Linked DNA regions of Mus musculus. The protein of the gene in region 6 purifies or fractionates together with the protein of the main gene of each other region. This does not show direct contact. Links are inferred from orthologs where the notes say so. Each region holds a gene or a part of one and is shown on either strand. Other genes may lie near its edges. The genes, in order: Cad, Spryd3, Hsp90ab1, Cul7, Tubgcp6, Lgals3bp and Tubgcp3.

What was found.
Region 1: the proteins of Lgals3bp (region 6) and Cad purify together in Homo sapiens (co-immunoprecipitation; 3 studies listed by BioGRID and IntAct, with this or other methods). This does not show direct contact. The link is inferred for Mus musculus from reciprocal best matches to the Homo sapiens genes LGALS3BP and CAD.
Region 2: the proteins of Lgals3bp (region 6) and Spryd3 purify together in Homo sapiens (co-immunoprecipitation; 3 studies listed by BioGRID and IntAct, counting the BioPlex papers as one, with this or other methods). This does not show direct contact. The link is inferred for Mus musculus from reciprocal best matches to the Homo sapiens genes LGALS3BP and SPRYD3.
Region 3: the proteins of Lgals3bp (region 6) and Hsp90ab1 purify together in Homo sapiens (affinity purification with mass spectrometry; 3 studies listed by BioGRID and IntAct, with this or other methods). This does not show direct contact. The link is inferred for Mus musculus from reciprocal best matches to the Homo sapiens genes LGALS3BP and HSP90AB1.
Region 4: the proteins of Lgals3bp (region 6) and Cul7 purify together in Homo sapiens (affinity purification with mass spectrometry; 3 studies listed by BioGRID and IntAct, with this or other methods). This does not show direct contact. The link is inferred for Mus musculus from reciprocal best matches to the Homo sapiens genes LGALS3BP and CUL7.
Region 5: the proteins of Lgals3bp (region 6) and Tubgcp6 purify together in Homo sapiens (co-immunoprecipitation; 4 studies listed by BioGRID and IntAct, counting the BioPlex papers as one, with this or other methods). This does not show direct contact. The link is inferred for Mus musculus from reciprocal best matches to the Homo sapiens genes LGALS3BP and TUBGCP6.
Region 7: the proteins of Lgals3bp (region 6) and Tubgcp3 purify together in Homo sapiens (affinity purification with mass spectrometry; 4 studies listed by BioGRID and IntAct, counting the BioPlex papers as one, with this or other methods). This does not show direct contact. The link is inferred for Mus musculus from reciprocal best matches to the Homo sapiens genes LGALS3BP and TUBGCP3.

What each region holds. Positions count from the first base shown.
Region 1 is NC_000071.6:31,061,280-31,064,779, forward strand, and holds part of Cad (CAD protein), read left to right. Parts: coding exon 1-71; intron 72-177; coding exon 178-399; intron 400-498; coding exon 499-687; intron 688-921; coding exon 922-1,046; intron 1,047-1,182; coding exon 1,183-1,313; intron 1,314-3,500. UniProt on the Homo sapiens protein: Multifunctional protein that encodes the first 3 enzymatic activities of the de novo pyrimidine pathway: carbamoylphosphate synthetase (CPSase; EC 6.3.5.5), aspartate transcarbamylase (ATCase; EC 2.1.3.2) and dihydroorotase (DHOase; EC 3.5.2.3).
Region 2 is NC_000081.6:102,133,416-102,137,413, reverse strand, and holds the start of Spryd3 (SPRY domain-containing protein 3), read left to right. Parts: upstream 1-1,198; 5' UTR 1,199-1,255; coding exon 1,256-1,278; intron 1,279-3,851; coding exon 3,852-3,998.
Region 3 is NC_000083.6:45,570,462-45,574,754, forward strand, and holds the start of Hsp90ab1 (heat shock protein HSP 90-beta), read right to left. Parts: upstream 2,801-4,293; 5' UTR 2,706-2,800; intron 1,451-2,705; coding exon 1,304-1,450; intron 1,159-1,303; coding exon 952-1,158; intron 717-951; coding exon 557-716; intron 339-556; coding exon 205-338; intron 106-204; coding exon 1-105. UniProt on the Homo sapiens protein: Molecular chaperone that promotes the maturation, structural maintenance and proper regulation of specific target proteins involved for instance in cell cycle control and signal transduction. Undergoes a functional cycle linked to its ATPase activity.
Region 4 is NC_000083.6:46,662,601-46,664,864, forward strand, and holds the end of Cul7 (cullin-7), read left to right. Parts: intron 1-457; coding exon 458-603; intron 604-721; coding exon 722-848; intron 849-937; coding exon 938-1,143; intron 1,144-1,367; coding exon 1,368-1,691; 3' UTR 1,692-1,764; downstream 1,765-2,264. UniProt on the Homo sapiens protein: Core component of the 3M and Cul7-RING(FBXW8) complexes, which mediate the ubiquitination and subsequent proteasomal degradation of target proteins. Core component of the 3M complex, a complex required to regulate microtubule dynamics and genome integrity.
Region 5 is NC_000081.6:89,120,351-89,124,466, forward strand, and holds the start of Tubgcp6 (gamma-tubulin complex component 6), read right to left. Parts: upstream 2,801-4,116; 5' UTR 2,468-2,800; coding exon 1,727-2,467; intron 324-1,726; coding exon 160-323; intron 1-159. Other genes in the region: polyamine deacetylase HDAC10, read right to left, coding at 3,116-3,129, 3,215-3,374, 3,469-3,651, 3,825-3,906. UniProt on the Homo sapiens protein: Component of the gamma-tubulin ring complex (gTuRC) which mediates microtubule nucleation.
Region 6 is NC_000077.6:118,399,160-118,403,414, forward strand, and holds the start of Lgals3bp (galectin-3-binding protein precursor), read right to left. Parts: upstream 2,801-4,255; 5' UTR 2,627-2,800; intron 643-2,626; 5' UTR 621-642; coding exon 569-620; intron 1-568.
Region 7 is NC_000074.6:12,669,301-12,673,512, forward strand, and holds the start of Tubgcp3 (gamma-tubulin complex component 3), read right to left. Parts: upstream 2,801-4,212; 5' UTR 2,731-2,800; coding exon 2,655-2,730; intron 1-2,654. UniProt on the Homo sapiens protein: Component of the gamma-tubulin ring complex (gTuRC) which mediates microtubule nucleation.

The DNA.
Region 1 (3,500 bases), on a different chromosome or scaffold from region 6:
CCTTCGCTGCCAGGATGGCTGAGATCGGAGAGCATGTCGCCCCCAGTGAAGCGGCAAATTCTCTTGAACAGGTTTGTTAGGTGTTTGGGTAGAAGTGGAATGATGTCATTTCCTCTGAATCTTATTTCTTTTGGGTCCAGAAATGACTTGTTGGTTCATGTCTCCCACTCACTGCAGGCTCAGGCAGCTGCCGAGCGACTAGGCTACCCTGTGCTGGTGCGAGCAGCCTTTGCCCTGGGTGGTCTCGGTTCTGGCTTTGCTTCCACCAAAGAGGAACTCTCAGCTCTTGTGGCTCCAGCTTTTGCCCATACCAGTCAGGTGCTGATAGACAAGTCTCTGAAGGGCTGGAAGGAGATTGAATATGAGGTGGTGAGAGACGCCTATGGCAACTGCGTAACGGTGAGTGCCGAAACACTTCAGATATAGCAGGGCCTGGGGATGTAGCCTCCTGGGCCTTTTGACCCCCTTTATTGGTGACCTCTGTGACCCCACTTGTAGGTATGCAACATGGAGAACTTAGACCCACTGGGCATTCATACTGGTGAATCCATAGTGGTGGCTCCGAGCCAGACACTGAATGACAGAGAGTACCAGCTTCTGCGACGGACAGCTATCAAGGTCACTCAGCACCTGGGCATTGTCGGGGAGTGCAATGTACAGTATGCTTTGAACCCCGAGTCTGAGCAGGTGAGTCTCATACTGAGGCCTTCATACCTTGGTCTGTGGGCCTCAAGGTTAAGAGGTTTCTTGGCCCTGCTCACCCTAGAGTGAAGCCAGGATTGTCGTGGTTTGGGTTGGAGCTTGGGGAGGCCCTTTCCTCTCTCCATCCCTGGTAGAGGCCCAATCATTTCTCCTCCCCCTTTTGAGCCCTTTTCTAGGCCAGGTGTCAGTGACTTATTCTCTGTGTTCTCCCATTTGCAGTATTACATCATTGAAGTGAATGCCAGGCTCTCCCGAAGCTCTGCCCTGGCCAGTAAGGCCACAGGCTATCCACTAGCCTATGTGGCAGCCAAGCTAGCATTGGGCATTCCCCTGCCAGAGCTCAGGTATAACTTGGGGGAATCCTGATGTTAAGGTGAGGGGAAAGTTGAAATTATTCATAAGACTGGACCTATGAGAGGGACTGCAAGCTCACCCTATATATTCTTCTGTCTTTTTGGCACCCAACTCGTTCATGCTCAGAAACTCTGTTACGGGAGGAACAGCAGCCTTTGAGCCCAGCCTGGACTACTGCGTGGTAAAGATTCCTCGCTGGGACCTCAGCAAGTTCCTACGTGTCAGTACGAAGATTGGGAGTTGCATGAAGAGTGTTGGTGAGCTTTCTACACCCGTTCCAACTCCCATGGGTCCTGCTAGAACCAGGAGAGCAGTGGTCCTCAGCTTCCCTAATGCTGCAGTCCTTTAATACAGATCATTAGTTGGACATGGTGGTCCATGCCAGCCCGTGCCTAGAATTCCAGCACTCAGAAGGCAGAGGCAGGTGGATCTGTCAATCTGAGAGTAGCCTGGTTTGTAGAGCCAGTTCCAGGGTGGCCAGGGCTACATAGAGAAACACTGTCTTGGAAAGCAGATAAGTGTGTGTGTGTCTGTGTGTGTGTGTGTGTGTGTGAGAGAGAGAGAGAGAGAGAGAGAGAGAGAGAGCGCATAGAGCTTTCTCAGAGATAATGGGTACATTTCAAGTTAGTTATCCTCACTAGGAGCAGGGGACAAGAGTCATCTGGAAGCGGGTGTTGGAATATAGTCCCTGGGATCAGATTATTTGATCTCTCTTATTTAACAAACAGGTAAATGGGGGGAGGGGGGCTCAGGAGGAAAGTGACCTGGCTCACGGAGTAGTAAGGGGTCAAAGCAAAAGCCAGATCTTGCTGGTTGTAAACCCATCATTCACTATGTCTTTCATCTTCCTCGAGACACTTTATCCTCATGACGTGGCATCTCACTTCCAGCGGCATTGTTAGGTTGATAAACTCCAGTGACATTTTATTCACTGTTTAAATATTTCTAGGGAAAGGGTTACTGATGCTTTCCTATAAATCCTTTATTTTTTTGTTTTTTATTTGTTTTGGTTTTGTTTTGTTTTGAGACAGAGTTTCTCTGTGTAGCCCTGGCTGTCTTGGAACTCACCTTGTAGACCAGGCTGACCTCAAACCTTGAACTCAGAAATCCCGCCTGCCTCTGCCCCTCAATTGCTGGAATTAAAGGCGTGCACCGCCACTGCCTGGCCCTATAAATCCCTAATTCTTAAAATTTATTGCTCTTTGTGTGCAAAGTATATGTGAGGGTGGAGTGTGCATACCACAGTGCAGATGTGGGAGTCGGGACACATTTTCAGTTCTTTCTACCTTTAAGTGAGTTCTAGGAACTGAACTCTGGTCACCGGGCAAGTTCCTTTCAGTGACCAGAAGTCAGCATGGTGCTAGCTAGCCATTCTCCGCCTGTCTCCTCCTCTGGCAACAACTTCTAGTATCTACAATGGAATTTGCATTTAACACAGAGTTAAGATCAGAGCAAGATAGCAACTGTTACCTAACAAAGAGTTTCAGCAGACAAGAGTGTGAATTCAAAGCCAGTCTGGGCTATGGAATAAAGTCTATGGTAGCCTAGACAATAACCACAAGACACTGTCTCAAAAACAGAACCAAAAAACCCGCCAGCCTGTTTAGAATATTGCGTGGTGGTGAGCGGTGAAGCAAGCTGGAATCCAGCTGATGTGCTCTGCAGTGTCTCTGTAGTTGCTTTGTCTGAGAGAAGCAGGCACGGGTGCTCCCAGCCAATTTGGATAAGCATGTCACCATTTAGAACACAAGTGGCTTTTAAACAAGTAAGTCTGAGCTTAGATATTGTTTCAGAATTTGTAGAAGTCCTCCAAGACTGCCAAGATGTTCCTTCTGGAGATGAGTTTCTGTTATATGAAAATGATAATAAACATGGGAGCGGAGCCATAATTAAGTTGTGGCTAAAGGAAGTGGATTGGAAACAGGATAGTGAAAGATTGGTTGGTTCCCAGCTGAGACTTTGAAATGTCTCTCGCTCCTCCCAGACTTCTCGAAATGCCATCTTCTCCCTGCTAACTTTTATAATTTTCTTTGTGTATTTTGATCTTGTCTTTTTGAGACAGGCTCTAGCTGTGTTGCCAGCTATTCATTTTATAGATGAGGTTGGCCTGGCGTGCACTAAGTAGCCATACACTGCATACACTGTCCCCAAAGTCTTACAGTCTTCCTGCTTCAGGCTCTTGACCGCCCCCCCACCCCCACCCCCCAGACAAGCTGTCACTATATAGCCATAGCTAGCCTGGAACTTGCTATGTTTAGAATAGTCTGGCCTTCAGCTAATAGTGATCCTCCTGCCTCTACCTCATAAATACTGAGATTACAAGTATGAGCCACCACACTCGGCCTCAAGCAAGATACTGTGATTCGCAGAACTCATCTAAAATGATGTTCCCACTTAGTAGGAAGTTGGTTACACTTTACACTTTGTATCTAGAACAGGCTACA
Region 2 (3,998 bases), on a different chromosome or scaffold from region 6:
TATTCATCCATACCCAGTCTCACATTTTGCCTCTGAAGGTGTTCAGCCCTGTGACCTGCAGCTATGGCTGCATCCCAGGCTGGAACCTTCAGCAGCTCCCCAGCTAGGTTTGTTCTCTGGCTGCAGTGACTTTGCACTCTATCAGCTCTTGTCTCTAGTAAGGCCTCTGAACTCTTGAATTATGCTGTGGCTTCTTTAACCCTTTTCTAGCCATGTTGTTAACCTACATAAGTACACACAGGATATGTAATCTGTGACCCAAGAGTTAGTAATTAATATTAAAGTAAAAGTTCATGTGTTTGGTAAGGGCCCATTATCAATGTAAATCAGGTCTAATTGGCAAATTGCCGCCAATGAAGCTGACATCGCTTGCTGATGTATTTGATACTCAATAAATTTAGATGTGGAAAGACACAAATATGTTCGTTTATGTTTCTGACACAGGATGAGTCTTTCTGGAAAGAATATTCAGTCTTAAGAGCAAAACGTTGAAGTCGTCCAAGAATCCCAATTCCTTCCAAGGACAATCATACCCTTTATAGGAGGTGCATGATAAAGATTAGTATCCTTTCCGGTACATTCTGACCCGAGCTAACTTTTCCTACCAAGCCCAAGCCCAAAGAGCACCCGGGTTTCATCCCACTGTGCCTTTTGCATATGTTCTCTCCTGTTCTGGAACGCCTGTCCTGGAATGAACGAACGTGGTGCAAAGGGGTGCTCCGGAGAGAAGAAAGCATGTGGTGCCAGCCGAGTGCTGCCGCTGTGGAGATCAGCCTCTGGCTTCTCACGCGTAAAATAGGAGATAACATTAAAAAAAAATCCCCCCCCCCATGCCGTTAAGTGGCTCAAAAGGACATTCCAGAGAGGTTTTTAGCATCACTTCTGGCTCTGGGAACACGAAGCTCGCGCACGGGCACAGGGACCTACTCCGCCCCAAGGGAGCCGCCCCTTGACCGCCTCCCTGAGCTCCAGGCGTCCGAGGTGGCGTCCGGGCAGCCACGTCGCCTCCCCCACCCTCCCGACACCAGGGTTCCTCAGACGCCGCCGAGTGTTAGGTACCCAGCTCACCGGGCCGCGCTCCGCACCGCCTGTGCCCTGCGATTGGCTGCTGAGGGCGCCCATCTTCAAGAAGCGCTGCGGATTGGTCAGATTTAGCGGTGGGGGCGGGCCTGACGGAGCAGAGGAAGGGCGGGGACCCGGATGTGTGTGGTGGCGGCGGCCGAAGAGCTACAACGCGGAGCTGAGAGGCCTATGGATGAGGAGGACGCGGCGGCCCCGGTAGGCGGGGATCGGGGGCGGGGTCCCGGAGGCCTCGGTCTCTGCAGATCTCGAGGCGGGGGTCCTGGGCGACGGCTGCGGCCTCAGGGCGGGGCCAGGGGCTCCGGTCACGGGCGTTCCTCTCGCCGCGCACCCTCCCCATTGCAGCCAGGGCCTGTGACGACGGGGCGTAGCCTCATTGACAGGTTAAGGCCGGGTGGTCCCGGGTGTCACCTGAGAGACCCCGCGGTCCTGAGGCCGTGCCCGGACCCAGTGCGGCGGCAGCTGCTTGGTGCTGAGGCTGTCAGGTTCTCGAAGATCCGATGCCTTCAGATCTGGGGCTCCGGCATCTACCTGGGTTCGAGTCCTGGCCCAGGGCCCTGGGGGATCCCAGTGCTGCGCCGCAGGTGTCTGCTCTTGTGGGGCATGTGCTGGTCTGTAGCTCCTGCAGAAGAGCCCCAATGTGCACATTGGGATCGAACTCAGCTTAGCCCAGGATTGCTAAGCACCTACTGTGTGTAGGGCACAGTGCCAGGTGTTTGGGAGGCAGGAAGAAAATATTTCTTCATGGTTTTCCCGCTTTTGGATCTCTGGAAGATTTTATTCATTCATTCATTTACTGGCCTTGCTGGTTGTCTAAATACCGAGAGAGTCCCATGTTTTTCTCCGGTACTGCTGCTGCTTTAGGGGCTGCGGCCCTCTGAATTCTGTTACAACTTGGAGTTAAGATCTGCTAAGTTGTTTTTTCTTTTGTTTGAGACAGGGCCTCACTGTGTAGCCCTGTCTACCCTGGCACACACTATGTAGAGCAGGCTGTTGAAGAATTCAGAAATCCGTTTACCTCTGCGGACTAAAAAGGGCTGGGGTTCTGGCAGAAGAGAAGGCTCAGTGAATTGAACAGCATGGGCTTCAGGCAGGGTGGGGGTACACACTTTAATCCTAGCACCCAGGAGGCAGAGGCAGGCCAGAGTTCAAGGCTAGTAAGTTGCAGGACAGCCAGAGGTACACAGAGAAACCCTGTCTCAGAAAAACAAACAAACAAAAAATTCATACCGTTTCTTGTTTACAATTCCCTAGAAGTTTTTCATTACCCTTGAAATAAAATTTAAAAGTCCTGACTGTGGATAGACTCTTGCTTTACCCTGTTCTTTTTGTTTTTTTAGACAGGGTTTCTCTGTCTAAACCTTGCTGTCTTCTGAAATTTGCTTTGAGACCAGGCTGGCTGCCTCTTAGTCATAGATAACCACCTGCCACTACCTCTGGAGTGTTGGCATTAAAGGCCTGTGCTTCCATATCTTGCCACCTTATTCTACTCTGGTTTTTTTTTTGTTGTTGTTGTTTTGTTTTTGTTTTTGGAGACAGGGTTTCTCTGTATAGCCTTGGCTGTCCTGGAACTCACTTTGTAACCAGGCTGGCCTTGAACTCAGAAATCCGCCTGCCTCTGCCTCCTGAATGCTGGGATTAAAGACCTGCGCCACCACCCACCACCGCCTGGCTTCTTATTTTTTTTTAAGATTTATTTATTTTTTGTAAGTACACTGTAGCTGTCTTCAGACACACCAGAAGAGGGCATCAGATCTCATTACAGATGGATGTGAGCCACCATGTGGTTGCTGGGATTTGAACTCAGGACCTCTGTCTGTGCTCTTAACTGCTGAGCCATCTCTCCAACACCTCCTCTCCCCCCTTACCTTATTGTCATTCACTTTCCCTACATACAATGGCTCTGGTGGGCTGTTTTTCTCTGCCATGACACCTTTTTTCTAACCATGGGCCTGAGCAACTGTTTCTTCTGTATGGAATGGTTTTTGTTACACTGTTACACTGCCTGCCTCTCTTTCAGTTTTTCAGGCAGTACCTCAGAGTCTGTCCCTGTCCGCTATTTTGTTACATCTCTGTGGGTTTTTTTTTTTTTTTTTTCTTCCACTGGTTAAAATGACCATTTGTGGGCTGGAGAAATGGCTCAGTGGTTAAGAGCACTGACTGCTCTTCCAGAGGTCCTGAGTTCAAATCCCAGCAACAACATGGTGCCTCACAACCATCCGTAATGGAAGAGTGACAATGTACTTACATATAATAAATAAATAAGACAAAAAATTTTTTAAAAAATATGACCATTTGTATTTATTATCTGCCATGCTCCCCTATGCCCACTTGAGTGGAAACTCTGTGAGAACAAGCATCCAGATTCCTCTACCTTGCTCATAACTTTGTTCCTAACTCTGATAACAGAGCACACGATAAACAATAAAAATCCTAATAAAGGTCGAGCGGTGGTGGCGCAGGCCTTTAATCCCAGCACTTGGGAGGCAGAGGCAGGCAAATTTCTGAGTTCGAGGCCAGCCTGGTCTACAAAGTGAGTTCCAGGCCAGCCAGGGCTATAGAGAGAAACCCTGTCTCGAAAAAACCCAAAAAAAAAAAAAAAAAAAAAAAATCCCAATAAATACGTATTGCCTGAGTGGCTGAGGCTGGAGCTCTTGATGTATTTGGACATCCGGCGTCAAGTCTGGTGCACTTTGTACATTCAGGGTTGAGCAGGCTGGGGTCCTCTGCTCTGAGCCCTGCTTCCTTCTCAGCCATCTGTCTTGTCACAGGTTTGTTCTCATGAACAAGATGGATGACCTCAACTTGCACTACCGGTTTCTGAACTGGCGAAGGAGGATTCGGGAGATCCGAGAGGTCCGGGCCTTCCGATATCAGGAGAGGTTCAAGCATATCCTTGTAGATGGTGACACTTTGAG
Region 3 (4,293 bases), on a different chromosome or scaffold from region 6:
TTCAATCTTAGGCTTCTCCTCATCCTCCTTATCTTCCTCCTCTTTCTCACCTTTCTCTTCCTCTGCCTCATCATCACTGATCTCCTTCTCCCGTTCCTTCTCCAACTAAATCACCAATGACACATGTAATTAATTGTGGAGAATGTAGCACCAGCAAGGCCCAGTGCCATTAGCCTGCTCCAACACTGCCAAGCCCATACTCACATAGAGGGTGATGGGATAGCCTATGAACTGCGAATGTTTCTTCACCACTTCCTTGACCCTCCTCTCCTCCAAGTACTCTGTCTGGTCTTCTTTGAGGTGAAGGATCACTTTGGTACCCCGGCCAATGGGCTCACCTACAGAGAACAAATCAAGACATGAAAAACTGAAACTAAAATACAAGAACGAACTACGCTTTTTTCGTTCCTGGTTTCTCAAGCAAGCTAAGATTCCTGTGTAGCCCCTTTGCTTGCCTTAAGAACTCACCCAAGTGCTGGCACTCACCACCCCTTAAAATGTACTTTTATAGAATACAACGTCTAAGGTTTCCCCACAATGTAGCCTGCTGCCTCACCATGGTCTGCCCGGACGGTGAAGGAGCCACCCGCAGACGACTCCCAGGCATACTGCTCATCATCATTGTGCTTCGTGATCACAACCACTTTCTCTGCAACTAGATAGGCCGAGTAGAATCCGACACCAAACTGCCCGATCATGGAGATGTCTGCACCAGCCTGCAAAGGGTTTGAAGTAAAGAGGATCAGCAACATGGTTCTTGGCCAAGTATAACCATCTGCTGCGCAAGGTAACAATCAGTTCAATGTCCAGAGATCTAGGGGTCAAAGCTGTCCTGACCAACCACTTGTACTTTTTTTCTAATAAGTGTCCTAATATGTAATACCCTAGACAGACAAATTTTAACTTAAGCAGTAACAAATTAGAGGACGGTGTGGATGAAAGGCCACACACCTGGAGAGCCTCCATGAACGCCTTCGTGCCAGACTTAGCAATGGTTCCCAGGTTATTAATGAGGTCAGCCTTGGTCATGCCAATGCCTGTGTCCACCAAAGTCAGCGTGCGCTCCTGAGGGTTGGGGATGATGTCAATTTTCAGCTCTTTCCCACTGTCCAACTTAGAAGGGTCCGTCAGGCTCTCATATCGAATCTTGTCCAGGGCCTGTAGTAAACGCAAAAAGCCAGATTATTTTATTTTTCCAAACAGTCCCTCCCCCTTCAACATCAACTGAACTGTTCTTCTCAATCACTCCCACACACACACACACTTCCGTGAAGCCTTAGAAATTCAACAACAGAATACTCACATCTGAAGCATTAGAGATCAACTCGCGGAGGAAAATCTCCTTGTTTGAATAGAAAGTGTTGATGATGAGGGACATGAGCTGGGCAATTTCTGCCTGAAAGGCAAAGGTCTCCACCTCCTCCTCTCCATGGTGCACTTCCTCAGGCATCTAAGAATGAAAGAATTACTACTAAGGACCATTATAGACACACATTTTAATATCCAGCTCAAACTTCTTTAGTCTGGGAAAGTATCCAACCCAAAGAGACAAGAGCAGCCATTTTCTTTAAAAAAGGACATTTAAGCTACAATGGCCAAGACAAAAATGACAGAAAAAAACCTAAAAGATGGGTTTTCCAGAACAGATGCCCAAAAGTCAAACTCTTGAACATTGGCATGTTCAGTGCATAGCTCACTGACTCTGAACAGAACACCTGGCAATATGGTAAAAATCCAGACTAAGTTAACAATACATAAAAAAGAACCTCAAGCAACCCCTGGTACTCACACCCCTTAACTACAATCTCCTCATTGGGGTGAGGAACAACTTTAACAGAAAAAGCAGTCTTTTTTAATTTTTATTTTATTCCACCCAGCAGGGCAAGAGAACCTTGAAGCTGTAGTCTGGGAGGCGCTCACGGGGCAATTAAATCAGGACAAAGAAATCAAGAGCTCCACCGTGACCACTCACTGTGCAGACTTGCATAGGCCGGAACCCAAGTAAAATGGTGGCCCAGCCGTCCAACGACCCTCGTCACTGCCGGACATGCGTCGGCAGGAGCCACACGGGGAGGGGGCGCCATTGAAACCCTCCCACCGCCCCAGCATCCGGGCACTGGGGCGGGGCGCCCAGGCTTCCAGAACAATCTGAGCTCCGGGGAGGGGAGGAGAAAGGGAGGGACCTAGGAATCTTCTCGTGCCTGCTCTGTCTCTCCTCCCCCGCCCTCCACTGGGAGGGCAGAAAGATCTGGAAAGGGAAAGCGCGGTGGGTTCCGGCGTCCCTGCTGTGCACCCCTCCCCAAAATCAAGCACGTTGGTACCGGCGGCGTCCGGGGGAGGCAGCCAGGCCAACCTCCCCAGGCCTTGCTGAGTCACGCAGAGCAGCCCGCCACCGCGCGGACCCTGCAGCCGCGCCCGGAAGTGGAGGGCAAACATGGCAGCGTCCCGGGTCGGCGACTACCACGTGCGGCCGCCCACCACCTGGCCGGGCCGCACCCCCACCCCACGCTCCGGGGAATCCACCCGCCCCGGGGAGCCTCGCGTGCAAGCCCGCCGGGGTACAGCCCGAACCTCTAACCTCTAGACACGTTATCTCCACAGGCTGCCCCGCCGGGGAAGGAGGCTTTGGGACAGATGAGATGGAGGCTGGGACCCCGGGAAGAAGCCCCCGGAGAGCCGCCGGGGACGAGAGACCCCGGCCTTACCTTGACGGGAAAGCCGAGTAGTAGTACAGAGCAGGGTGGTGGGCCCGGACCAAGTCCGACTCGCACGGCAAGCCTAGGCTGCGCGGGGGTGACTCAAGAGAGCTCCCGAACGCCCCCGACCGCCCTATATAAGGCGAAGCACAGCCCGGGCCCCGCCCTTGGATCCCTCCGCCTTAAAGGAGTGGCTGCGGGCCACGCACCTGCCGCCGCCCGCCCACCTTGACGTCATGGTAGCAGATCGTGGAGGGGGCGGGGAGGAGCGGGACCCCGGGCCTGGTTCCTGAGTCAAGGCCAATTCAATATCGTTTTGCACATCCCCCATTTCTGCAGGAGTAGGACATGTCCCCCCTCAAGATGAGCAGGGAGCATGCATATGCAATTAGGGATGTATCTGCGGGCGAATACCCTACGGACTGCCTCAGAAAACTCAAGGTAGGCGCTTCCACCCCCCCACCCCCCAAGAGTCCAGAACTCAGGGGACTGAAAGAGAATGGAGGTGGCCAACTCGGCTGCCATTTCCAGACCCGATCTTACTAGAATGTTCCCTACAAATCGCACATCAAGAGAAAAGGATGATAAATTCCTTGTCCAACTTTAAGGAGGCCCCCGATTCCCCCATCCCCACCCTCCCGGGTACAGCACAGCTTCAGGCTGGGAGCCGCTTTCCCCGAGGGGAGGGGCACGGGCCTGGGCTGGTAGGGACTCTTTGGCGGCCTGCGGCGGAAGGATCAGCAGCGGTGGTGCTGCGATTTCTTCCAGCAGTTTCTAGGCCTGTCTCGGCGGTCTCCACCCCTCCCCCCTAGGCTCCACCTCCCCTGCTGCGGCGGGGGCAGTGTCTTCGTCGCCGCTTGGCTGGGTGGCTTTTTTTTTTTTTTTTTTTCCCCTACCTTGATCTTACCCTGGGAAGAAATTTTCCCCAAGTCTGCCTACCGTGGGCCAGGGTTGAACGACCCTCCACGCGTGGCCCTAAGAGGCCCACATAACAGTGGGGGAGTGGAGCGCAGAGGGAGGGATAGCTGACCTGGATCGGTCACAGGGCACGGGGGCTGTGGGGGTGAGTGACTGCGGACACCTTCTAGTGAACAGAGAACCGAGCTAGCAGCTTGCGCTACTGGGTAGAACACTCCCCACCCCTCAGCCTCCCCGGTCTCCCACGTACACAGCGCGCGGGTACGTGCGCCCTCCCTATGTGAGCACAAGCTGTTTCTCAAGCTGGTTTCGCTTCTCTAGCCTCTTCCCTACTGCATGCAGCTCTTTGGACCTAGAGAGGAGCAGGTCCCAGTCTTTTCAGAGAAGCTGGAGTTCTAGGCATCCGCATGAAGGTGCTGGTCACAGGTTGGCCCAGTTCCAGGAGCCAGAAAACCAAGTTGTGCCAGTGCCTCTGTTCTAAAGGTGGCCTGCCATGTCCTTCAGCTGGCAATCTAGCCTTGCCTTTTTCCAAGGCTGCATCTGGAAGCTTGTTGGACTGATGAGCCCTCCAGTAGAGGATGGGCACTCAGTGCTCTGCTATCTTAGCTCATGCTGGCTTGTGTCCCCACACCACCGCCCACACCTTTGTTCCCGGTGCTTGCCTGCAGTCTGTCTAATG
Region 4 (2,264 bases), on a different chromosome or scaffold from region 6:
CTAGCCTGGTCTGCATAGTGAACTGTAAATCAGCCAGAGCTACATAAAGAGACCCTCTCAGAAAATAGAAAGAGTGGGTGTGAGATTCCTTCCTGATTGGTCACATTTAGTTCCCAAAGTATTCACTGGGCATCAGATTCTAGCCTGGGCAACAAGAGCAGGTGAAGAGCAGAGCACCACCCCCCCTCCCCCCAGGAGTCACCAGACAAGCAGGAGGGCAAACCTTCCTGGCTCAATTCTGTCTGTGCATAATTCAGAGGGCATGGCTGCAGCCTGCTTGGCACAGACTGACTCCTTGTTAGCCAAGGCTTTTTAGGGAAGCTGAGATCAGAAGCCATCGTGCCCAGAAGTCCTGCCTGGGTCTCTACACTGCGGAGACCAGCAAGGCAAAGCTTGACCAACAGAGCATGCCCTCCCCCCTTACCCTCCCCCCTTCTCTCACCTGGCATTTCTCCAGGTCAGAGCCGCTCCAGCTTAGAGAAAGAGCCACAGAGGCGGCTGCAGTGGACCTGGCAGGGCCGGGCAGAAGTGCAGTTCGGGGGTCAGATTCTGCATGTGTCCACAGTACAGATGTGGCTGCTGCTGCATCTCAACAACCAAAAGGTGGCCTGTCCTGTCCCTCTGCTTGCCCTGCCTATTCACTTCTGTTCTCTTGCCTCCATCCTCCCCAGCTCACCCCCCCCCCCCCCCGAGGATCTAAACTCTTTGTATCTCTTCTAAGGAGGTGTCTGTCGAGAGCCTGCAGGCTATCTCGGAGCTCCCTCCAGATGTGCTTCACAGGGCCATCGGGCCTCTCACCTCATCAAGAGGTCCCTTGGACCTGCAGGAGCAGAAGAACGTACCAGGAGGTATGCACTCAGGGCCAAGGCAGACTGCTCTGAGTCAGGAATCGGCTTCCCCGGGCCCTCCCCAGGCAAGTGACCAATGTTCCTTACAGGGGTGCTCAAGATTCGAGATGACAGTGAGGAACCCAGGCCGAGGAGGGGCAACGTGTGGCTGATCCCACCTCAGACATACCTACAAGCTGAGGCCGAAGAGGGCCGGAACATGGAGAAGAGAAGGAATCTTCTGAATTGCCTTGTTGTCCGAATCCTCAAGGCTCACGGGGATGAAGGCTTGCATGTTGACCGGCTCGTCTATCTGGTAGGCAGTGGTGGGCATGGCCATGGGGGAGATGCCCAGAGGTAATGGTAGGCATGGCCATGGGAGAGATGCCCACAAGTGATGGTGGGCTCGTATTTGAAGTGTCTAACTCATGGTGCAGCCTCTCAGTGTGTGACACATGTCCCAGAATGTGTGACTAACACAGAAGACAGTGGTAAGGACTGTGGTTTTGACCTGTCCTTTCCTTCTGATCCTGCTATCAGGTGCTAGAAGCGTGGGAGAAAGGCCCGTGTCCTGCTAGGGGTCTGGTCAGCAGCCTCGGCAGGGGAGCAACCTGCAGGAGCTCTGATGTCCTCTCCTGCATCCTGCACCTCCTGGTCAAGGGCACGCTGAGACGCCATGACGACCGGCCGCAGGTGCTGTACTATGCAGTTCCTGTAACTGTGATGGAGCCCCACATGGAGTCCCTGAACCCTGGCTCGGCAGGCCCCAATCCACCCCTCACCTTCCACACCCTGCAGATTCGATCCCGGGGTGTGCCTTACGCCTCCTGCACTGATAACCACACCTTCTCCACTTTCCGGTAGCCCTGGATATGGGGTTGGGGGTAGGTGAGGCTGGGGCTTTCTACAGAAAATAAAATGCTGGAATTTGAAGCTATGACCTGTATGGGACTGCTAGAGATCGGTGAATGGGGCGTGGGGACTCCAGTTGATGGGGAAGGGGGCCTCTGGCATGGAAGCAGCTTCCTGACCCATCAGGAGGCTTGTCAAGGTCTGGGAAGGTGGATTAGAGAGCAAAGGAAATGTCAGGTGTGTCAACAGCTAAGCCTGGATCTGGGTCCCTCCTTGGAGGCTGTGGCTAGGACTCTGACCGTGCAGGCTGCACACACAAGTCCACTTGGCCACCTTCTTCGCAGTTTGGGCAGGTTATCAAACACGGCCTCTTTGCCCTCATTTGTAGCTGGAGAGAAGTGACTAAGAAGTGACCAGTCGGTCTGTGTCTGTTTTAGCCACCACTCCCAGTGCAAGCTGCCCTCACTGGGGCCTACCCTGAGTAAAAGGTGACCAGGGGAAGAGACCTCTGCAAGCTCCCAAAGCGCGACCACCTTCTGCTGATGGCGTAGGACCTGGTTGGTGAACATCCTAGAAGGGAGTGTG
Region 5 (4,116 bases), on a different chromosome or scaffold from region 6:
CCTCACGGAAGTCAGACAAGATCGTACACTAGCTTACCTGAAACAGCAGCCTCTCACTCTCAACACTGATATTCCTACAAACTGCCTGCAGTTTCCAAGTAAGCTGTTGATATGGGGCAAAGGCACAGTGCATTTAAAGGCAAAGAAAAGGTCACATACCATCCAATACGCTCCCAGCACCTCCGCTTGCTGGCTTCGTATGTGAGCACAGCTTCCCACAGGTCCAAATCGGGGGTCATGCTTGGTTCAGACTGGGAGTCGGGAGTTAAATTGGAAGCTGACTGGAAACCTTCATCTTCCCACTGATCCACAATCTGTGGGACCTGGAGACCACCGGAAAAAGTAATTCACTATCCACCTCTCCCTGTATGCATTTATTAAGTGTGATGATAGAACACTTAAACTGTATCCACATCCATTTATTCCCTAGAGGGACAGACCTAGCAAAGCAGTCTACTTTTCCTCAGTGTACTCCACAATGCACCCCTCCACAATACATGATGACATAGAGAGTTAAAATAATCCGCTATTAATTTCTAGGCAGGTGTGGTGTGTGCCTGACATCCCAGCACTGAGATTGAAGTAGAATTGAGTCTGGAACCAGACTGGGCTGCACAGAGTGATCTACTGCAAAACACAAGGTGTTAATTTTTTACCTCACATACAGCATGGCCTCAATTTAGGGAAAACAGCATAAGAAGTCGTACAGGAAGCCCAGCACCCTGGAACTGAGGCAGGAAGATATCCATGTGTTTGAGGCCAGCATGAGCTACACTGAAACCCTGTCCTTATGAAGCCTGACCCCTCAGCACTCAGGAGAAAAAGAAAATTATACTAAACCTAGAGAAAGTTATGTACGCCAAGATTTTGCTGTACCATCATTTAAATTTGGAAATAAATATTCCCTTTAAAAATAATAATAGTAATAATAACTGAGGGCCAAACATGATACTTTAATCCCAGCACTCAGGAAGCAGAGACTGGAAGATCTCTGTGAGTTCAAGGCCAACCTGATCTACAAAGCAAGTCCAGGACAGCCAGAGAAACTGTCTCGAGAAATCAAAAATAAAAATAAAAAATAAAAACAAAACTGAGAAGTAATAGTTTGTCCTCTTAACAAAATTTACAAGTAATAAAATACAAGAGAAAATGATAATTTATTCAATGACGTGGAGGTGGGTTGGGGAAACCCATGTTACAGGTGAGGGGGTATACAAAGCATGCACACCAGGTATCTTTGAAATGATGTGGCTTCTACAACTTAAGGGCAGACTTTCTTTTGGATGGGGGGTGTTGTTTGTTTTGTTTTGCTTTTTGAGACATGGTTTCTCTGTGTAGCCCTGGCTGTCCTGGAACTCACTCTGTAGATCAGGCTGACTTCGAACTCAGAAATCCGCCTGCCTCTGCCTCCCAAGTGCTGGGATTAAAGGTGTGTACCACCACTGCCTCTCTTCATTTTAATTAATCTGATTTCTGAACTAACAGCACTAGAGAAGTGACTTAACAAGAAGCTCTTGAGGAACAGGATGGGAAAGGTGCACGTTGTGTTTTGCTTACTGGTGAGCAGCTAGGACATTCCTGTGCAAAAGGATGCCAGCAAATCCTCCCCAACACCTCTACATCATGACTGTCTGCTCACCTGAGGCTTGGACAGAAGCTTGCCAACAGTACCAGGTAAAAGAATTTTCCAAACCTCTAGGGTTACTGAAAGGGAAAGAAATACTACCTTGATGGCTAGTCCAGAGAAGTCCGCGCTGTCTGGCACAGGTGGTAGGTCCAGTCGCACATCCATGTCATAGGTGCGGCTATGCACAAGTGCACCAAAGAGGGAGACCCTGGTGTCTCTCTCAAACCTGTCACCACAAGAGTCACCAATTGAGAAGAGCCCAACGGTGGGCAGGCCAGTGCCTGGGGCAGCCTCCATCACCTGAAGCGCTTCCTGGACCGTGTGATGACACAAATTCTCCTCCCCAGAGATAAATGACCGAACGTCCATTTCAAACACACTCAAGTCATAGCAATCGTAGCCGCTGTAGGGTATGTTTCGGCCTGCATGCTTGTTGTTAAAGAAGTAATCCCGTTTTCTACGCAGCACTTGAGGGGGGCCACTTCCTGCCAGCTGAACTAAGAGGTCCAACACTGATGCTACCTCCACAAAAGGACAGTCAGGGGCTGCTTCAAGTTTCTCCACGAGCTCCTCCAAACGGTCAGCCTCTGGCCCCAAGCCCCCCACCCTCAAATCGAAGGACAGCATGAGGACCTTGTTTTTCACGGGGAGCTTCGACGAGTCGGGCTGCCGTTGATGGGTGTCCTCTTGAAAAAGATTTGCGAAAAGGGCATTGTAGGCCACCCTCTTAAGGCTCCGCTTCGCCCTCTTCCTGTTCACACTGCGCTGGCCGGGGCGAGCTTGGGCAGCAGGTAAGAGAGCCTCGCAGAGGTCATCGAACAGCTGGGTGATGCTGGCCATAGTCACTCTCTTTTCAGCCCAGGACCCTCCTGACTGGTAAACTTTGCACCTAGGAGTCACTTCATGCTCTCAAAGGCCAAAGCTCACCGTAGGTGAGCCAGGCTCAAAAAGCGGACCGCCCGTGGCTCCACACCCGGCAACCCGGCATCCGCGTCTCAGGTTTCGCACTGCAAGAGGCCACACGCCGCGACCCTAACAGCCCTCAGCCTCCACCTGGCGCTCGTCCTCGGCTCTCCCGGACCATGACAAGTTTACCGACCGAATGCGTACGCCCCATGACCAGCCTGCAAGCCCGGGACGCCCGAACTGGGACTCCCGCCGCTCTGGCGTCACACCCACGCGACGGCAGACAACACCAGGAGACGCACGGGAAATACGTCATCAGGCCCGCCCTAAGTGGGCGAGGCCTCAGCCTCAGCTTTCAGAGCTAGAACCTAGCATCTTGGATAATTTGATGGGAGTGAACTCAGTAACGGAGACAGAGATGTGTTGTGTTTGGCCGATGTTTATTGTTCTGGAGGTAGAGGACGCCTGGGCCGCAGACGGGACGTAGGTCTCGGGCCATGGTTCGCTGGGGCCCGAGTGTGCTATTTTTCACGTGTGAATCGCCCACCTTGACCGATTTCAAGCGACTGGCAATCACTGTTATTATGGTGGAGGAGCTGGAAAAGCAAAGTTGACTCGTTGGTGAAGCTGGCTCCACGTAGTTCTAACGTAGGGCGTCGCCTTTGCCCCTGTGTGCCTCACCAGCCACCTGCAGCAATTTCCAGCGAGCCTCCAGCCGAGCTTTTAGAAACATCAGAGCCTGGATCTCCTCTGGAGTGGCCTTCGAGAAAGGACCCAGACTGGGAGGTGTTTCTCCATGCAATGCCTGCGCCAGGCTCCTTGCAAGCAGGCGTATGGATTCCTGGCTCGGAGAGAGTGGGGTTTGGGCGCCGCAATGAGACAGTTGTTTCTGCCCACCTTCCACCCATATAACGTAGCCACCCTACCCAGTTTACCTCTTCCACTACAGCTAGAATTCGGCCCCCTACTGGGCTCCGAAGCATTGCAGCCAAGAGAGCAGCTTGAGCGTTCTGCAGGCCATGGGCAGGCCCCAGTGCCATCAACACCATATCAGGCTGGAAACCATAGGCCAAGGGCAGTACCAGACCCAGAATGAGGCTCAGAAACCCTCCAGTTGTCTGTAGGGACAATAGCAGAGCCTCAGACTCTCATCTAAAGGGCACTGCTAGTGGCTCCTGTCGCCCACCCCACCCCCAATCTCAGGGACCCTGGGTTGTGAACAGGAACCCCCAGAGAGACCGGCGGGGGGGGGGGGGCGGAGAAGCTCTCCAACCCCAACACAGCCACTCACCTGTGGCAGTGGAGTGGAGAAGTGGAACATGGACTGGATGGCTGCATCCTTGCCCCGGATGTTGAGCCACAGAATTCTCCTTCTCAAGAGAAAGCACCAGGGCCATAGACACATAATGCAGGAGACCCTGCTCACCCTTCCCAGGGCTTATCAATAAAAGACAGAGGAGAGCTTGGGGCCAGGGGGGTGGGGGCGTAAGTGACTGTCAACCTGGTATGGCACTGTGTTCTGGGGCATCCACTCTCAAACTGCACCTATGGGAAGCAGTGTTCTCACCCAACGGTGACCCTGG
Region 6 (4,255 bases):
CTCACCCCTACAGTGGTTGCCTAAAGCGGACAATCCTGGACTGGAGACAGTCTGCACTGTGGCACAGGCAGCCAGGACAGTCCTGCTCTCCTTTCTCTGGAACTCCCGTCTCTGCCCATGCTCACAGGGCCAGCTGGGCGCTTGAATTGGGGTCACCCATACTAGAGAGGGATACTCAGCTGACGGTCCAGGATGGACAAGGCTCTCAGACCCACAGTGCAGTGTGTGAACTGCCCCCCCCCCCCAGGGACTCTCTGCCACCCTAACCTGTGCCCTGAGACACCCCCCCACACACACTCCAGGACAGCACGGGCTGTGCTCTCCCTCCTTGGCCCACTGATGAGATGAGAAAAAATTTCTTGGCCTCTTCTTCAATACCTGCATTTCACTTGGGTGCGGGGGAGCACCAGGGGCCATACGCCACCACCATTTAGAATGACAGAGGAGCCACATGGGAGAGAATCCTGAGACATGGCTCCTTGCAGGTTGCCATGCAGCTTTTCTGCAAGGCAGAGGGGGACAACCCACAGAACAAGGCGTTTGGGACCTTTCGTGGGGCAGGACTCACCTTGAGTCCCTGGAACCAGCAAGAACACAGAGAGGAGCCACAGGAGAGCCATTGCCTGGCCTAGAAGCCCAACCCTGCAGCAGAAAGAACAACAAAGTTAGACTGGCAACAGCTCTCCAAAGGAGACTGGCAGTTCCATGGCTCCCTGTCCTATTTGTAGAGGATGGGATGGTGTTGTGGGTGGTACTCTTGTGTAAGGCCCAGATGGCTATGTGATGGCTCTCATGCAGGCCTCTCTCACATGCTCTGCAGGACAACCTTCAGGTCAGCAAGAGTCCCCAGATGAGGCAAGTGGCTTGAGGGCTCCTGGCAACGAGAACCCAGGAAGCAAACAAGAGCTCTTTATCTTTAGCTGGCCTTATCTGTAAGTAGTAGCTAGCTGCCTTTGGGGTGTGCAGGGGACAAGATTTGCCAGTCTGTGAGGACATTGTAGATGAGGTTGGAACTCTCAAGGGGAAGTGACAGAGGCAGTGTAGAAGGGTCTGGGACTTCATGATGTGACCTGGGGATGTGGGTCAGGGTCAACCACCACGGTGCTGACACACAGGACTCAATACTTAGACTCTTGCCTGTATGTAGGATGTGCCCCACCCAGGCATTGTCCCTCAGGCCCTGCAAGGAGCGGGGCAACCCACAGAACAAAATGCAGCAGCCTCAATGGACTCTGGACTCGTTCTAGGCCCAGCAGGCAGCTTGGGACTGGTAGTGGATGGTGCTACAGAGCTCTGTCTCCTGGGCAGGAACTGGAAGCCACAAATTGTTACTCCGACCAGGGGCCCAGAGACAAGCAGTAGAGATATTTCAGGTCCAGTAGAAGCACCAGGATTGGCCCCTCCCCAGCCCTCTCCCACCGACCAACCCCCACCCCAGACATTCTGCACCAGAGCAGCACGAGCAAGCCCTCAGGGGGCCAGGGCACTTGTAGCCATCTTGGCAGGGGTGAAGAGATCCTAGGATAGGCTTTGGCTATCCGACTGCGGAAGCAACAGCAGAACTGGAACTCCCCGGGAGTCTCACGCTGAAAGGAGAAGGCTGTTGCCTGGTGATAGCCAGAGAGGAAGCCTGTCTCCAGGAAATAACAGCTCACTCTGGGATTTACAGCCCAGGCAAGCCAGTTAGCTATGTATACCTCTATGTAAACCTCATGTTAATATCCCCTAATAGACTCTGGGCCATTAATGGGGGAGGCCACTGGATTCCTCTTAGTGTGGCCACATTAAATAAATCTCCTTTTTCGGCTTTTCACTGTTATGTTTTTAATTGGACCATGGAGGATGGGTGGCTGAGTCTGGCTATCAGGGGAGCTTTCTGGGCATAAGCTCTGACCGTTGAGTCCTATAACACACTGATGGGTGGGACTTGGCCCTTAGTTCTGTGCACCCCACCCCCACCCCCCAACTGGTTCCCACCAGACTTCTGCATCTAGTCAAGCACAGACCCAGAACAATATACAACTCACAAAGTTCCCACATCCCTAATGAGAGCCGAAGCTAGAGAGCCAACTGACTCCAGATGACACAGCCAGTGAGCACAGGTTAGGGTCTGCCCAGGGGTGGCCTCCTTCTACCACAAGGACCCTGGTGGAGGTGGAGGGAGCCAGAGAGTCCCACATCCGTGTGGCAAGGCATTACCCCAGTTTTATCCCAAGAAGGCCTGGGCTCTGGGAAACCTGAGTCCCAGGCAAACTGCACTGGGTGCCCACTCCCTGCATTTACTATAAACTGTGGTCGTAGGTTTGTCCATGCTGGGTCAGGCGCTCTAGGCCTTGGGAACATTGCAGTGTATGTGGATGTTGCTGTCCACTGGATGACAGAGGCTGTTTCTGCCCTACTCCTTTGTGTGGGAAGATGGGACAAGCCTGCCTATGCTGGCTCATTCAGTACCACTGAGTAGGTAGGTTTAGTCCTGGGAGAGAATCTACAGACCCAGGAGGGGGCCGGGGATAAACTCTAACCCACTCACCCCTTCAGCTGTTCATTCAGTGGACATCCTGCCCAACTGTATTGGCTCCTGTGCTCTGGCCTGCCAGAAATCATGCTGTGTAGAGTGGAGACTCACCTGGGAGCAAGAGAGGGACTCAACTGTCCCTCAGGCAGCGAGGCAGTGGCTGAAGGCAGTCCTGGAGCCTCCTTCCTGGCTGCAACTGGAAGCCTTCTGTAGACTGTTCAGCAGAGAAAAGCTCCACCATGTGGCTTTCCTCAGCCTCGTCCCAGGAAATGCTTTGTAAACCTCACCTAGTTTCGATTTTCAGAAAACACATGACAGAGGCTGCTTCTGGGGTTGGCTGTCAGCAAGGCTAATAGCCTTCTGCTTGCTGCTCTGTGGGGCAGAGGGCAGGCACCCAAGCGCCCTGTGCTGAGCTGATATACTGAGCTGATGAAACAAATATAAGTCCAGGCTAGCCAGGCAGGCACCCTGTGGGGCAGCTTGGGGGATGGTTGGAGCAAATACATCTCCAGGCTGGCCAGGCAGGCATCCTGGCGAAGGAGAGTGGAAAGATACAGAAAGAGGGCCTAGGAGCAGCAGCTCGGGTCAGACCGTGTCTGTGAATGTGGATGTGGGCTGGACTATCCTTTCCTGGACCTGGGAATGCTGGCTGCCCTTAGCTTATGCACAAACCTACCATGCGCAGAGCGAAGGTATGTGGGCCACAGAGTGGTCCTGAGAGACAAGAATAGCGATATAAAGGCTAAAAGCAGAAAGCAGGGCTGGGGGCTAGAGTGGCTTGGTGGTTAAGAGCACCACCTGCTCTTATGGGAGGCCTGAGTTCAACTCCCAGCACCCATGTTGGTTGGCTCAGAATAGCCTGTAACTGGCTTCAGGGGCTCAGACTCTGTAGGCACCCACACCCAAGTGTGCTCATGCATGCACACATATAATTTTAAAAATTAAATCTTAAAAGGTTTCTACAATACCTTTTTTTTTAAAGTAGGGCTAATTGGGCATGGTGGAACACACCTTTAGCTGGAAGGCAGAGGCAGGTGGATCTTTGTGAGTTAGAAACTAGTCTGGTTTACATAGTGAGTCCTAGGTTAGTCAGGGCTACACAGAGAAAGCCTGCCTCAAAGGAAAAAAACAAAAACAGAAACAAAACCGAAACAAAATCCTAAAACAACAACAACAACAACAAAACTACCACCACCAAAACTGCTTCAGCGGGTAAAGGGACTTGCAGTAACCAATCCTGATGCTATGAATTTGACCCCTGGGACTCACTGTAAGAGAAAACTGACTCCTGTACGCTGTCTTGATCTACACAAGTGTACCGTGGCATGTATGTACATGCATGTAGACACACACAGTAAATAAATGTAAAAATATATATATATAATTCAAAGAGGCCTAGGGAGATGGCTCAGTAGTTATGAACACGTGCTGCTCTTGCAAAGGACCCAGGTTCCATTTGAAACACCCACATGGCTGTTCACAGTCACCCATAATGCCATTTCTAAAGGATATAATGCCCTCTCCTGATTTCCATGGTCACCAGGCACACACGTGGTACACATACATGCATGCAGACAAAAGTTCCAAACATGTAAGATACACTAAAATTACAAAGGCAAATTTCCCCAGACTTATGATGTTTAGACAGTGGCCTAATTCCCAGCAGCTCCCTGCAGCTCCCCTGGCACCAGCACTGTAAGGTTTCCTACCTCAAGACACCCAACTGTCCTCTTGAACACT
Region 7 (4,212 bases), on a different chromosome or scaffold from region 6:
GCCCTGGGTACTAAGCAACACCTGAAGGAGCCTAAAAAGCATGGAGCTTGGTCAATACTGTGAACTGAACTTCCCAAGAAAGCCATGCCCATGTTAGAGATTCTTCCAGACTGACTGACTATTAGAAGGCCTGTGATTATAGACAGCTGGACAGAATGTTGCAGGTCTCGAGCTAATAAGTTGTCTTGGCCACCTATCCTAAGCCCTCTTAAAGGCCCCATTCACTGCCTGCCTCTGTGTGTTGGCATGTAGAGAACCCAGCCTCCACCAACCCTAACATGAGACTGTCATCAAATAGTACCTGAGACCAGTAACAGAGATTCCCATTTTGCTTTAACCCACGTACCTGATGTTCATGCCAATGTATTTGAAAAGTACCTTGACTTATGACTTTATGCCATTCTGTTACTAAGCTTCATATAACTGTTAATCACGTTGAAACAAGGCATTAGGGGTAACCTGAAACTGTGTTACTAGACCATAGTCACTTATGCTTAGTTCCAAAATAAATCACCTCTTAACTTCCTTTGAGGCAACAACTGTGTTTCTGCATCAACAATATCAATGTATTATTACGGACTGTGACACTGCACCTCAGTAAGCCAGACACTAAGACCAGAAGAGATGGTGTTGGGCAAAAGAGAACCATGTGTGTACAATTTTCTTGTAAATCTAAACCATTCTGAACTTTAGGTGCTTTTAAAATATGTACTGACACCAGGCCCTCTCCTACACAAACCCTGGTTCTTACTGGTCCGGAACAACAGCCCATGCTATCAACACTCTTAAAGGTTCCACTTCAACACTTTCAGTCTACAAGACAAGAATAAGACAAGTATAGTTAAGGGAAGATGGTTCCTTTGGTAGGCTCAAAAATAGTCTCAACTTGTACCATTTAACAAAAAACTAACTCATATCACACATAACAATAGAACAGAACCTCTCTAGGGCAAAAAGATGAAAGAAATTTTATGACTTTGGATTTGATAACAGTTCTTCACATGACAGCCAAATCATGATAATGTTAAGTGTTTTTTGTTTTGTTTTGTTTTGTTTTGTTTCCTCTTTCTTCCAGGGGAGCATTTGGGGAGTAAGGCAGCACTGCTTTCAGGAATCCATCCTTGCCTTCCACCTTGTGGAGAAAGCAGATAAAGAACACTGTACCCAGATAAATAAAGAACACTCAAAGTTATAAGGGTAAGCAACCCAGCAAGAACATATGTTACAAAGAAAACAAAATAAAATACAACCTTAGGAAGAGATCTGAATGGCCAAACAAGAAGTCATGCTCAACAGAATCAGGAAAAAGAGATGACAACAATTAGCTATGGCTACACACCTGTCAGAGCACAACAAAATATCAACAAAGTGTGTGAGGGCAGAGAACCCAGCTGACTCTGCATCCCTCAACTCCATCCACAGAGAAGACAGCATCATCTTTAATGAGCTTTACCCTGGATCTCTCTGAAAGTCCAGCGATTCACAAGACATAATCACAAATGGGGGTGGGAAAATGGGAGGATACAGGATTCTGCTTTAAAGTAGCATTTCAATCACCTGAAGGCTGTGAAACTTCTATCAAAAGGGATCTTAATGTAAAATTCAAATTTAGAAGTTCATAATGAATAACTTCAAAATCTAGCTATAACTACGAGGTTCTTTCTGGAAGGTAAAAATTTTGGACCCAATGCAATAAAAGAAAAATGATGGTATGGCGTGTTAAGCCTTAGTTATCTAATTTTGCCTATGACTGGATCACTCCCTTCAGAAAAGTAAACTATCCTCTGCACTCACACTCTCCCCAGATACTGGAACTCTAAGCTCCTCCTATCCGCCTTCTCCCTAGCCCTTTATCACCCACAAACACTGTGTATTCACCAACGTGCTAGTCACATTCCCTCCATTAGACAGGAGCATCTCTCATGGCATAATAGGGTCGAGGAAGCCTCAAAGATTTCTTACATGAACAAACTGCACAGTGAAACACTACAAGGAATAAAGCAAGAAGGGAGTTAAGTCAACGGTTTAGTAGTGACACAGTAATTCATCCTCTACGCTGACAAGTTGTTACATAGGTTGTTACAAATTATGAAAGATCAAAAGGCTCTCTCAGTTTTTAAAACTCGGTTCTTGTTTAAAGTCTTCCCTTGAAAACCTGCGCGATTTGTCTCAACATTCTAAGGCAACCCAGTCATGTCAATTACTAAAACCTTCCCTCAAGACGCGTCCCCACTCATCTCCAAAATGAGCTTCATGAAACCAGATCCTTGACATTTTCCCCACCCCCAACTACGGCGGCGACAGTACGGGTAAAGTGGGCAGGACTGCCTTGGGGGTCTGGCTTCTTAGAAGCATTATTCGCTAGCTGAACCGTCCAGGAATAAGCGAGCATCATCTAACCAGGACTCATCATCACCAGAGGCAAAGGTGACAGCAGAGTGAGAAGCACGCAGAAGCAGAGCTGCAGGCTGCCGTGCTGTCTGGACGAACCCAAAAACAAACTCGGCCGCTACAGCAGCTCCGGCCTGGGCCCCCAGGGCAGGGACAGTCCGCGAGCCGCACCCCTTTCCTTCCCGGGGGCCGGGGAGAACAGCACCCGGCCGGCGGGGGTCATGGCGCTCAGTCTCCACAGCCCTGAACCCCGGGACGCGTACCTTCGCTCCGGCCCAGGATCCGGCAGCACAGGTTCTGCAGCAGAACGTTGGGCGACTTCTGATCCGGAGTCGCCATTACCGCGCCCGGACTGCGCACTGCAGCCTCCCCGCGCCCCAGGATCCCGCGCCCTAACTACGGCGCCGCCATATTCGCGGAAGCGGCAAAAGCGCGCGCCTCCCATAATGCACCGCTTCCCGCGCGAGACGCGCGTGCGCTCTCCCGGCTTCTGCACTTGGCAGCTTCTCCGCGCTGGAAAAGTCGTTGCTGGGCGACGCTCGCAGCAACGCGTTCCTAGGATGCCCGTACGCGTCCGCAGCTTGCGGTCTGGGCGCTGCTTGTGAACAGCACTGGATGCGGAGTCCGAGTGCGCTTGAGCCACACAGGGACAGGGGCGCCGGACTACTACGCAGGGCTCTCGTAAGTGAGTTCTCAGAGGTCTGGAACCTCTGCCCCTTGACGTCACCAGGAGGTAGTCCTGGAAACGGGGATACTGAGATGGAGAGGCTTGAGCGCTGCCGCAAAGGAAAAATCAGACGCAGACACGAGAAATTCTGTGCTGTCTGGGACGCAGGAGGAGGAGAGTCCTCGTCACTGGGAGCCCAGCTCCGCCGCTCCTGCCCGGATGCTCGGTGGTCCGCAGAAAGCTCCCTTCTTAGTCGCTGACTCAGGACTATGATAGCAGTGGCACTCAGAGGTGGCTTAATGGAGAGCATACCTTTATTCGTCTTTTGCTCGCAGATCTCTTAGCCACCCTTCCCTGCCCGCTCTGTGATGTACAGAATGCGGACACACTCACTCCCTGTACAAATGGTACCTGCTGGAGCTCAGCCAGTTGAAGCCAACGATAGAAACTGCAAGAGGAGACTCTCGGCTTCAGCCTGGAATTTGACTACGACTCTAACAAGCCGAGACTCTCAACACTCAGCTCTCAGCCCATTCTTAGCTCCAGCCTATTTTGTACCACCCACACAGATGATGCTCCATCAGAAGGTCTAGAATAAGGCCATAGTGAATAACTATCAGTCATTCCTGGTGTTTCTTCCACCCCGGGGCCAGTAGCTAACCTTCAGGTGATCCACTTTTCTGTTTCCATCATCCATGTAGTCAGAGCTCAGTCCTCAGTCCCTGTAGCCTCTGTTTTGTTGAGTGGTCCTAGCACTGCCCTTTGGTAATAGGAGTGATCCCAGCAAGAAGTCTTAAGGTGGCTTTCTGGACTGAGCACTCACACATTTAATTGCAGATGTATTGACAGTTATTTGAGGGTGGCCAATGAGCCAGGAAAAGCCAGAGCGGTTTGCTTTTCTGTGTGGCTACTTGAAGTGAAATGTCAGCAGATAGATGAAAACACTTAGAAAGTAGCTGCTCCAGCACAGTCTTGACAACAGGAGCTGATGTCACCAAGTCAGGTGACTCGAGTTCCCCAGAACCCACAGAGCAGGAGAAAAGCAACTACCTCAGTTGGTCCACTCACCTCCACCATACAAAATGAAGTCAGTCAAGTTAGGACATTGTAAATCAACTAAGCCAGTGACCAAAAAATGCTAAAAAAAAAAAAAA